3 linked regions of the Lonchura striata genome follow. The protein of the gene in region 2 interacts with the protein of the main gene of each other region in a pairwise test. Links are inferred from orthologs where the notes say so. Each region holds a gene or a part of one and is shown on either strand. Other genes may lie near its edges. The genes, in order: BCL2, BNIP2 and FRK.

The links.
Region 1: the proteins of BNIP2 (region 2) and BCL2 interact in a two-hybrid assay, tested with the Homo sapiens proteins (3 studies listed by BioGRID and IntAct). The link is inferred for Lonchura striata from reciprocal best matches to the Homo sapiens genes BNIP2 and BCL2.
Region 3: the proteins of BNIP2 (region 2) and FRK interact in binary tests that used the Homo sapiens proteins (3 or more experiments, as listed by UniProt). The two-hybrid records come from large-scale screens. The link is inferred for Lonchura striata from reciprocal best matches to the Homo sapiens genes BNIP2 and FRK.

What each region holds. Positions count from the first base shown.
Region 1 is NC_134603.1:96,441,692-96,445,440, reverse strand, and holds the start of BCL2 (apoptosis regulator Bcl-2), read right to left. Parts: upstream 2,902-3,749; 5' UTR 1,662-2,901; coding exon 1,083-1,661; intron 1-1,082. UniProt on the Homo sapiens protein: Suppresses apoptosis in a variety of cell systems including factor-dependent lymphohematopoietic and neural cells. Regulates cell death by controlling the mitochondrial membrane permeability. Appears to function in a feedback loop system with caspases.
Region 2 is NC_134613.1:9,134,117-9,137,865, forward strand, and holds the start of BNIP2 (BCL2/adenovirus E1B 19 kDa protein-interacting protein 2), read left to right. Parts: upstream 1-1,409; 5' UTR 1,410-1,468; coding exon 1,469-1,518; intron 1,519-2,215; coding exon 2,216-2,283; intron 2,284-2,997; coding exon 2,998-3,171; intron 3,172-3,749.
Region 3 is NC_134605.1:66,374,630-66,378,378, forward strand, and holds the start of FRK (tyrosine-protein kinase FRK), read left to right. Parts: upstream 1-1,222; 5' UTR 1,223-1,642; coding exon 1,643-2,073; intron 2,074-3,749. UniProt on the Homo sapiens protein: Non-receptor tyrosine-protein kinase that negatively regulates cell proliferation.

The sequences.
Region 1 (3,749 bases), on a different chromosome or scaffold from region 2:
TTGCCAGTGTCCTACCTAGCTGACCTCCATTTCTAGGTGAGTTATGCCAGCTTTCAACCCAGGTTTCTTCTTCAGTATAACTTTTGCCATTTCTCCCTCCAAAACAGTAATATCATAAGCTCTACACATACAACAGGTTTGGTTTGTGGGAGAGTGGCTGGGACCACATTTTGTTCCAGTACATCATACTAATAAAGGAAAAAAGGAAACAGTTATCCTTCTAATTCAATGCAGTTACTTCTGGAAAGAGGGGGAGAGAGAAAAAGGAAAAGCTTTTGACTGACTACAAGTGAAAAAGCTATCCATTTTCCACAAATGGAAATCTTGCCTTTCTAGTTGATGCTGAAGCCTGCCCCAGACAGAGGTGATCTCTACCCCAGAAACACAGCTGCCCATCACTCATTTTCTAGAACAATCCCACAGACACAGCTCCCAGCACCTTTGTTTCATCTCAAGATGAAGATTTTTCACTCTAGACATATCTTATCCCATAAAACCCCACTCCAGTGACGACCACAGCGGCAGACACTGTCACTGATGGCTACCTGCTTGCCAGGATCTCATGTTTGTTGCACACTGGTCTGGTGCATCACCTCTCACGGCTGGGGATACTGCATGCACACACAGGTGGTCCCTGCTGTCCCAACACTGCCTGGGACCTCCCACCATGTGCCTCTTCTGCCTGGCAGCTGGATAGGCATCTCTGCTGCCCCCTCCCACCCCACTGCATGACCTGCCTTGGCTAGGAACCTGCCTCGGTTCTGCCAACAGGCGTGGGCGGACAGGAGAAGTGGAGACCACAGGAAAGTGGAGACCGCTGATAAAGACACAGCCTTGCTCATCCTTGTTGCTCACAAGCTGTAGCTGTTCCCCCAACCTCAAACCACTCCACCCTACCCTGCATCCAGGTGAAACTTGACAACTGGCAGAAGGCCAGCACTGCTTTGGCACATCCCAGTGCAGACACCCCCTGGACAAACTTTTTGCTCCCACAAGTGCCATCCCCCGGGCACTGCCCAAACCGGGGTCCAGCCAGCCACGGGCCAGAGCCAGGAGAGGAACCGAGCAGTCAGGGGACTCACCCAGCCTCCGTTGTCCTGGATCCAGTTGTGCAGGTGCCGGTTCAGGTACTCAGTCATCCAGGTGGCAATGTTGTCCACGAGGGGAAACATCTCTCGGTTGACGCTCTCCACACACATCACACCGCCAAACTCGAAGAAGGCCACAATTCTGCCCCAGTTAACCCCATCTCGGAAGAGCTCCTCCACCACCGCCACGAAGCGGCTCCTGGCCGTGAAGGGCGTCAGGTGCAGCTGGCCAGACATTTGGGAAAAGTCCCTCTGGTAGCGTCGGGAGAACTCATCCCCCGCCTGGCGCAGGACGAGGTGGACGACCTGGGGTGCAGGGCGCAGCCCCTCTGCCGGGGGCGTGTGGCTAGCAGTAGCCGAGCCGGGGGGCTCGGGGTGCGGAGACACCAGCCCAGTGTGATCAGAAGTCCCAGCAGCAGCAATCGCAGCAGCAGCAGAAGCGGAGTGATCTGGAGGCAGGGATACCCTGTCCTCACCGGCAGCCCAGTCATATCCCCTCTGAGAGAGTTTATAGTGGATGTACTTCAGCACTATCTCCCGGTTATCGTAGCCTCTTCTCCCCGGATGAGCCATAATTCCCACGAGGAAGCAGCAAGAGGAAGGGAGAGAGGAAGAAGAGGAGCAGGATGAACCCAAAAAAGTAAAGCAGCCAATAATAATAAAATTAATAACACCAAAAATTATAATCCAGTTATTGTATTGGACACAGTTTCATTCATGCTGGTGTGGGGGAGTTCTCGGGGTCTCGGAGGTACTTTTGTCTTCTCAGTGTTTCCTCCTTGGTTTGAGATGCACGGCATAAATAGGGATTACAATGCTGTAAATACTTTACTTCCAGGTGCACATTTATTACTTATTATATATTTACGTTAGGACCATTTCCTCCTCGGTGTTGAAATACATCTTAAAAAATATTATACCGATTCAAAATCAGGTGCATTTTCCCCTAGGTGCTGGACTACCATGGACACGAAGGAGCAGATGAACACACACTGTAAAAACTGCAATTCAACACAATTTGCTAAAGCAGCCTTGGATGGACGTTAATCCAATGCACTTTAAGACAGAAACCTCAACATTAGGATTTGGGGTTTTTTTTGTTACACAAACTAAGTTTCCTCTGTAAAGTACTTACTTGGACTATAGATATGTTCCTCTGTCAAGTTTCCTTTAAAAGAAAAATAGCAACAATAAAATCCAAACATCACAAGTCTTCAGAAGCGTTAAGTTCTGGTTGCTTTTGATGCTTCAAGTCAACAAGGGGATAGGAACGGGGCAAAAAAAAAATTTCTACGATTTCAAATGTTTTTTCCCAGACTCCTGTTTAACAGACATCTCCAAAGATGTGTCAAAGCTCAGAAAATCCCGCCTCGCAGACCGGGAAGGCGAACAACCCCAAAGAGACGGAAAATCCTGGAGACCAGATGAACCACATTTGAATCCAAGCTCTCGCAGAAGTGCTCTGTTTTCCCCTCCAGTGCAACGTACAGACATATGCATTTACGTAGTTTCATTCAGACACCGATCGCAGGAACGCGGTGCTTCCACACACACGCACGCACACACCCAAAAATTTAAAAATAAAAAAAAAAATTGCATGTATTTAGGAAATTAATTCTTTTTCACAAGAAAGCGCGGAAAAAAATTAATTAAAAAACGAAAATAAAAATAAAGAAGGAAAATTGCTTTTGACTGCTGCCATTTCCCGAGCAGCTTTGTATCGGCGGAGGAAGAGCCCCTGGCGCTGCCGAACAGGGGCGCGGACGGGGCGTGTGTGCGGTGTGACTGGTGCCGATGGGGACCGCGGCCGCGGCGCCGCTGCTCGCCCGCCCGCCCGCCCGCGCAGCCCCGCGCACCCGCCGGCTGCGGGCGGCTCCTCCGGGCGCTCCGCGCTGCTGCTGCTGCCGGCGGCGGCGGCGGCAGCGGCGGCTCCGGACGGCGGCGGCGGCTCCGAGCGGCGGCGGGCGCGGGCGGGGAGCTCTCCCGGCGGCGGCGGTGGCGGCGGCGGGGGGAGCGCAGCGGAGCGGCGGGGGCGGGGAGAGGCGGGGAGGAGCGGAGCCCGAGGGGGAGGCTCCGGCTCCGCTCGGCGTAGCCGGGCGCGGTGGTTTCCTAGAGCTCCGCCTCACGCTTCATTCAAGAAAAGGGGGAAATGGGGAGGGTGCTTAAAAAAAAAAAAAAAAAGAAAAGAAAAAAAAAAAAATAGGCGGCGGCGGGGGGAGGCGAGCAGCCCCCCGCAGTCCGGGCCCGCCTTCCATCGCGGCGCGGGCCTGGGGCCGGCGGCGGGGCGGCGGGGGCGGCGCGGAGCGCGGCGGAGCCGCGGGAGCGGAGGAGCGGCGGGCTCCGGGGCCGCGGGCGGTGCTGCCGGCCCGCGCCGCCCCACCGCCCGTGCGGAGGAAGCGGCGGCGGAGCCGGGGGCTGCCGGTCCCGCTCCGCGCCTCTGCCGCCCCGCGCGGATTCATTTAATTTTTTTTTTTTAATTTTATTTTTAGTAAATGAAACGGGGAGGGAGAAAAAAAAAAAAAAAAGAAAATAAAGAAGTCGGAATACACCTTTTTAAAAAGCAAAGTGGCCCGCTGCAGGCGTGCAGGGCTCCGTGCATTTTGCCTCGAGGGTGTGCGCTGGCCGCAGCCGCTGCGCGGCCGCGGATCCCGTGCGCTGCCG
Region 2 (3,749 bases):
CACACATTCACTGTTACTGCTGATCCAAATGTGATCTTCCCTCTGAGCAAATATTTAAAATGCTCTGTTGCAGCCAGCAGGTTGGTGGCCAGGAGTATCCACACCCTGTATGCTGAGAACATCATCGGCTTGGTGAGAGGCAGGACTTGTTTCCAAGCAGTGCTTTAGTCAGGACAAACAGGGAGAGCTGGGAGGGCAGTGGCTGGGGCAACAGCTTCACACTGCTGAAGAAGGACAAGTGAGAGGTGCAGGTGCTGAATGTTTCAAACAAGGAGAGTTCATCCTTTCAGAGGAACTAGGTTCCTAACTTCCACAAGATTTATTTAAATCTTCTGGATGAGGAGGCAGGGAAATGTCAGTAAAACAGGCTTAAATTGAGATCATTAGTGCTTAATTTGTAGTACTGCAGTTTTACAAAAAGATAACTTAATTTTTCTTTACTAATCAACTTGCATAGTATAGCTTTAAGCATTGCAGGACATTTTAAAATGAGGTCAGGAGCAGAAAAAAATTGATTTGTCATGAAAGGAAAGCTGGTGCTACAGAACAGTAAGTGTAATTTGGTTTTCAGCCAGTTAAAAAAATTATATATCTGGGTTAGTAAGCAGTATTGGTTGCATTCAAACTTTGTACTTATTGCTGTTCTTTGTTGATTGGTTCTTTGCAAAATACCATGGTTTCTTATTTTGATGTGTGTTGGTTTTCTTAATACATTCATTGATAAGTTTACCTGTTTCTGCCAATCTTTAGAGCCAACACAGCCAAGAGCTTCATCTGATTTGGACTTTTAGGTCAGCATAATGGTTTGCCATGTTCTATTATTGGGGATTCCTTGTTGCTGGTGATGGGTGAGCCTGAAAAACTACAGCTTTACTTGCACATCATAGGGTGAGTTTTCCAAAAACACTGTCTTAAATAGTTATTTTTAAAGTGTTTGTGTTGTCAGAGGTTTGTTGTTTTTTTTTTTTTTTCTTTTTAAATGGCTTATAGTTGAGATCTGACCATCTGGACTTTTTCTCAAAATATACACTTATTAATTATTGCCTATAGAATCTACAGACAATTCAGGTTTCTTACATTTTGGAGTGAACTGGTGTAATCATAAATGATAGAACAAATTGCTCAAGGCCTTAATTTTAACTGAGGGATTGATCCTCCTTGACTGCATGAAATCCCTTCCAACCTAAATTATTGCATGATAAACCATTCCACAAGGAGTTTTGTATGGGAAAAAAAAAGTAAAATGCAAACAAACAAAAAACTTTTCCTTGTATTATTTTCTTTTTATTCTGCATCATACCTCAACTTGATGATAAGTTAAAGGATGTGTTACAAGTATGGGAATTGTCACAGTATTGAACTAACACCTTCTGTTATATTCCTGCAGCTCCTCTTTAGCCCATTGTGCTGAAGCCAAGGGGTTCTGCCTGATCAGGAGTCTCTGCTAGCAATTTAAGTGAGCTGGAGAATGGAAGGAGTTGAGTTTAAGGAAGAGTGGCAAGATGAAGATTTCCCAAGGTTTTGAATTATTTTTTAAAGTAATTTGGATCAAACACATAACATCAGCAATAAGCTACCTCTTGGTCTTCCTGGTGAACTAATACTCAGTAATAATCTTGAAGTAATTTCCATTAATATACTTGTTTTGGAAAGGTTTTATGGCATATTTCTTCAGGATTGCCACCAATATTTCTGAAATGAAGATTTGTAAACTTGGCTTTATTTATTTCCTGTGATAATATTTTGCAACTACATTGTTTGCATATTACTCCCAGTGCCTGAAGGCCCAAATATTTCATTAAGTACAATTTCTGAGGAAAGTCTTTAAAAGTCAATGTTGCTACTGAAGCCTGGGACTACAAAAAGTTAAATCAGCTTCAGATGCATTCTATGATAACATGACTAAGATATTTGTGTAATTTATTTTGAGTCAAATTTTGTCAAGCAAGAATATGACAAGTTTTCTTAAGGATGACACACCGGTTGTAGTCAGTGTTTTGGTATTTGTCACAGGATGGGATGGTCACTTGAATGCTGTAAAGGAATTTTCTGCTGCTTTGGTGTTTGTTAACTGAAAGTTTGAACTTAGGCTGTAAGTAAAGTTAATTCAGTACTAACTTTACAGTGGGTTTTTCTAGCAATATGTCAGTCTTAATATATGACATTACAAAAGAGGTCAGAGCAGGTTTTTAACAATAATTTCTTTGTGTCCCAGGCCCCTGCCAGAGGATGATCCTGTTGAGTCTGAGGCATCGGCTGCAGCTGGAACAGAAAGTGAAGCTGGTACGTAAATGCCTGCTTTAAAGCTTCTTGGTTTGGGGGGATTTTTTTGCTTGTTTTGTTTTGGGGGTTTTGGGTTTTGTTGGGTTTTTTTTTGTTTCATTGGTTGGAGTTTTGGAGGTTTTTACATTTAATTTTTTTTTTTATTTTGTCCGTCTGCTTTACTTGTGGCCTTTCCAGTGCTGGATTGGTAATCTGATTTTATTCCTTGCTTTCAACTCCTGTCTAAATCATGCCAATATTTGCCTTGTACCTTTAAGCATTCTGTCTATTCACAGAACAGATTCTTTAATTTTATGTCCTCACTGTTGTCTGTAAGTATTTTTTTTTTTTAGCTTGTATATTATTTTCTATTTTATCAAAGATGGTTATGTCATCACTGAAGCCTAACAAAAGCAAGCGATAGAGACATGAATCTGTTGTATTACTTGCCAGATTTATTCAGTGTAATATATGGAGCAGCTCCTGGGACACTTGGATGAAGCAGGCAGGGGGTGGTAGTGTCTACCACCCTGCTCAGACTCTGTGTGTGCAAAAACTTGAGAACTTTTAGCTGCTGTTCTTTCCATCCCCTATTAAAGTCTTACTCCAAAGAAAGTTTAAATTATGGGCAATTATTTATAATGCATTATGAGAAAGGACTGAGCTCTTCTGTCTTGGTAATATGCTTATCTCACCTTGCTTTAGCTTTGAAAAGAAATAATTTGCTTTCTTTAGATACAGAGGGCAATGGAACCAAATTGAGGAAGAAACTAATGGCTTCAGATATTAGCTTGACTTTGGATCCCAGTGGGGAATCTGTTTTGTCTGATGACTTGGATGAGAGTGGAGAGATTGATTTGGATAATTTAGATACTCCTTCAGAAAACAGCAATGAATTTGAATGGGAAGGTGAGTATTTTGGTTCTTTTGTCTGATACTGTAAAATATTTTCTTATGTGCAGGTCAACTGTTTCTCTAGTAAGAAATAGCTATGATTCACTAGTACAAGAGGAGAGATACAAAGGGAGTGATTACATTAGGAATTAGAAATACATGCAATGACTTTTTAAAGAGCAAATCAGATCTCATCTGATTAGTAAACAGGCGAACAGTTACTAGCTGTAACTACAGCTAAACTTGGGTGAAGATCATGTACATATGCATCTAGAAGACTTGGTATTTTACGTGTTTTAGAAATGAGTTTTAAATTGAGGGAGCCAAACAATGGGATTTAGATTAGCTACTCAGAAACTGCTGAACTGCAATTTAAGGAGGATTTAAATAATAACTTAGTATTTTAAAAATACTAAGTAATACCCGATCTTAAATCTTCTCTGGTAAGAATGACAAAAGCTCAGTAGCCTTAGAGTGTGCATATTTGCATACTAACTAGAGGCAGTAGAAGAGCCTCTATTTTATGTCAAGGAATTCTGGAATGACTTCATAGGAATTTAAAGTAGTCATAGCCACGCTAGTAATGATCTCAG
Region 3 (3,749 bases), on a different chromosome or scaffold from region 2:
TCACTTTCAATGGAGATACCTTTTAGACATCCCACAGTTTCTAGTTCATCATTAGCCTTTTGCCTCTGACACTGGCTTCCTTATTCAAATGAATGAGACATGATGAAAGCAAAGCGACTTTGTTTTCTTTTACTTAGTTGTTTTCTTTCTAGTAAAATAAAACCACAGAAGTTGGCTTCCTGACCAAAAAAAAAAAAAGGAAAAGGAAAAAAAGAAAAAAAAGAAGAGAAAATAAAAGAAGAGAAATGAGGAGAAAAGGAAAGAGAGAAAAGAAAAGAAAAGAAAAGAAAAGAAAAGAAAAGAAAAGAAAAGAAAAGAAAAGAAAAGAAAAGAAAAGAAAAGAAAAGAAAAGAAAAGAAAAATATAGGACTCAGGCTTTTTAATCACCAGGAAGTTTTAAGTCCATGTGTGAGATTTCATTGATCTCAATAAATAGACTGATCTGTAAGAGTTTGTCTTACTGAAATGTCACCACTGTGTGCAGACAGGTTATTGCTGTGTCTTCTGTTCTTCCTGCTCCTGTTCCAACCATTCAGTGTCCCCCAGGCCGTGGTGATTTCCAGGAGACAAATCCTAGGCTGCACTGCTGTGATATGATGACCAACCCTTCAGCCAGCTTTGCCACAGCCACAGAGTATCCAGACACCTTTGCTTGGTCTGTATGCTGGATTAGAGATACTTTAGAAATAGGAATATACTGGTCAATGCAGTGTCATTGTTTACAAGCTGACTGGAAAACAGCCATTTTTTAAATATAGGGTTGATTTAATCAGCCAGCCACCAAGAAAAATGCTTTTTGGCTAGTGCCTTTGTTTCCTTAAAATGCAGAATAAGGAATGCCTTAAAATATACTGCTTTATTACTGGATGCCATATATATTTCATTTTCCTTGTAAAAAGTGCCTATCCCAGCTGAAGAAAAAAAAAAAAAAGAAATCCGTAGGGTTGTTTAGAGGGGCAGGTACTTGGCAGGGAATGTGCCTGGGTGTGAGTGAGGGCAGGAGCCACAGGTGCACTCCTGGTGAGGGCATCTGACAGTCTCAGGCGAGCAAAGGCTTCCCACTGCGAACCGAAACAAGTACAAACCAGGAAACAAAAAGAAATATTCATTCAAGCTGTCCACGTCAGACTACTGAGGAGTAGGCAGGTCAGTTTGGTTAATCATTGCCAATTCAGACATTCACCAGTGATCATATGACCAGACCACATCTGAGATAAGAAAACACCCATCCTGAGCAGAAGGAGTTGAAAGCCTCCCTTATTTACATGTTCTGGCTTTATTGTTTTGCTGTAACAGAAGAGGCTCACACTTTTCTGTTGTTCTCAGAGCTCAGCCCAGCACAGCTGTTGTGTTGCTTTCCTTTTTCTGAAGAGGAAGTGAAAAATTCCCTCCATACGTATGCTGGCACTTGAATGCTTAGGTTTCACTCCCTAATTGGGAGCGATCTGTAATGAGCTCTCCGTGGGACCCAGAGAGGAGCTTCCAGCTGTGCCAAGAGTTATTTCATTTTGTGCCAAAGGAGAAGGGGGAGAAGAAGTCTGCAAAAAGCTAAGATGTGGATGGTGCAAAAATTGGTCTAAGGGTCTTGCAACCAGGAAAAGCAAAAGAAAAGCAGAAGCAGAGGGAGCAACAAAGAATCAGGATGGGAAACTTCTTCCGGAAGCACTGTCCCTGTTTGAAGCGTTACCTTCCCTGCTTATTCTTTGGGAGAAATGGTGAGGAGGAAGACAAAGGAGGCCAGGTCTTTGCCAACCTTGCTGTTATAAAACCTGACCTCCAAGCTGGACAGAAGGACTTAGACAGTAAGATAAAAGAGAAACCTTTACCTCCACTGCCTGGCCAGGATCTAGCAAACATTTGCAACTTTGTGGCACTGTTCGACTATGATGCTCGCACTGAGGATGACTTGAGCTTCCGAGCTGGGGATAAGCTGGAAGTGCTGAGTGCATCCCATGAGGGATGGTGGTACGCCAAGCTCCTCCTGCCAGAGGGGTCAGTCTGTCCTGGCCGCAAGCTCACAGGCTACATCCCTGCCAACTACATAGCTGCTGACCAGAGCATCGAAGCTGAGCCGTGAGTAACCCATGCTGTGTGAAATGAGACTCTTTTCTGCTGTGTTAAATGGGTTTGAGACAGGAGGTCACGGCCTTTTCTCTTGCTGTGTATTACCCTGCCACACTCAGCCTCGGGTGTCCTAGAGGTGGTAGTGTTGGCTGGCATGTGCAAGGAAAAGACACCATGGTCAGAGGAAAATAAATTTCCAAAGGCAGAGTGTGGAGGGGTTTTATATTGTTTTAAATAATTTCCTTTGGTGATATACACTAATCAGTTGCTTAAAAATCATCTGGGAAGATCATGTTGGTTACTGCTGTGATGGTTCATTAATTTTATTTGTATAAGAGTAAGTGTGTATCAGACAATACCCAAAGAGTAGAAATATATGACCCCTGCCCTGAATAACCAGCTGCAAAGTTACTAGTTAATCAGTTAAAGCAAGCTACCTTTACACCTTTTTATCTTCTTCCATAAGATGGGTGAGTCCCTAACAGATAAGTTTCAAAGTGTTTCCTCTAGACTACGTGCATCTTCTCTGGAGGCAAATCTCTGCTCTCAGGACAAAATTAGCTACAGCGAGTACTGCAAAGGGAAAAAGTGGATATTACAACAGAGAACAGATGAAGGTATTAAATTTCACAGAGTTTAATTATCCATCCCATCTTTTGCCCCTTCAAAGCATGCCAGATCTTATTAAATATTCTGAAATAGATCAGAAATCACACAGAATCAGTTACTTGGCTCCCTAGTAATGATGAGGAAGGTCTGAATCAGCCTGGGCTGCACAGTTACTTCTGTGTGTTGAAGACAGAGTCAATGTTTGCTGAAATAGGTCTGACTGCAGTTCCAGAGGTATATTTTGGAAAAAATTATCACTGTGTAAAGAAATGCCATCAGCGACATTCATTATTAGTCTCAGAATGAATGTTGACTTTAGAGGGATGGTGATGCAGCCTTTCAGTTAAATGTCATTTGAACCTGAAACATCATCTTTGACCTGATCTGCCCACTGGACTGCCACAGGCTGGGAAAATTGGATCAGATATGATTATGCCAAGTCTTTTATCAGCTGTAGGATTTTTGCTAGAGGCATTTTATGGCAACTCTAAGATTAATCTCTAACCTGAAGACTTTAATTTCCAGAGTTTTACCAGCTGTTTCTGTATTCAGGCAGACAACATTTTCAATGGTCATGTTCAAAAAAATTCTTCCAACTGGAGAAATTAATCTCCAGGGAAGGCATTTTCTGAATCACTAGATAAATGGTGTTAGGCTCTAATTTAGCTCAGGTTGGCCTTTGCTCTCTTTCAAGAGCTAGTTTTCTTAGAAGTCATCAGATTTCTTCATGCTGTTAATACTTTGAAAGTAATTTTTCTGAGTTATACAACATCTCAGCTCCTAATGTCCTTATCTTTCTATATCTAGAGCTTCAAATACAAAGTTAAGTTTGCCAAATTGCATTGTTGTGTAACCTCTGTTTATTTTACTTGTTACTTGTTAAACAATTCTATATTTTTTTTTTTAATATACCTTTAGACTAAGTTACAAGAAAACATTTTTCTCTATGGATTGTTAGAACACTGGAGAGGAAACAATGGAGAGTTTTTCCAATTCTCAGATGAAGCAATTTCTCCAAAATGAGCTTTTTATTTCGCAGCAAAATTAATGTGGCTTAAACATGTTGTCTTTTCTCA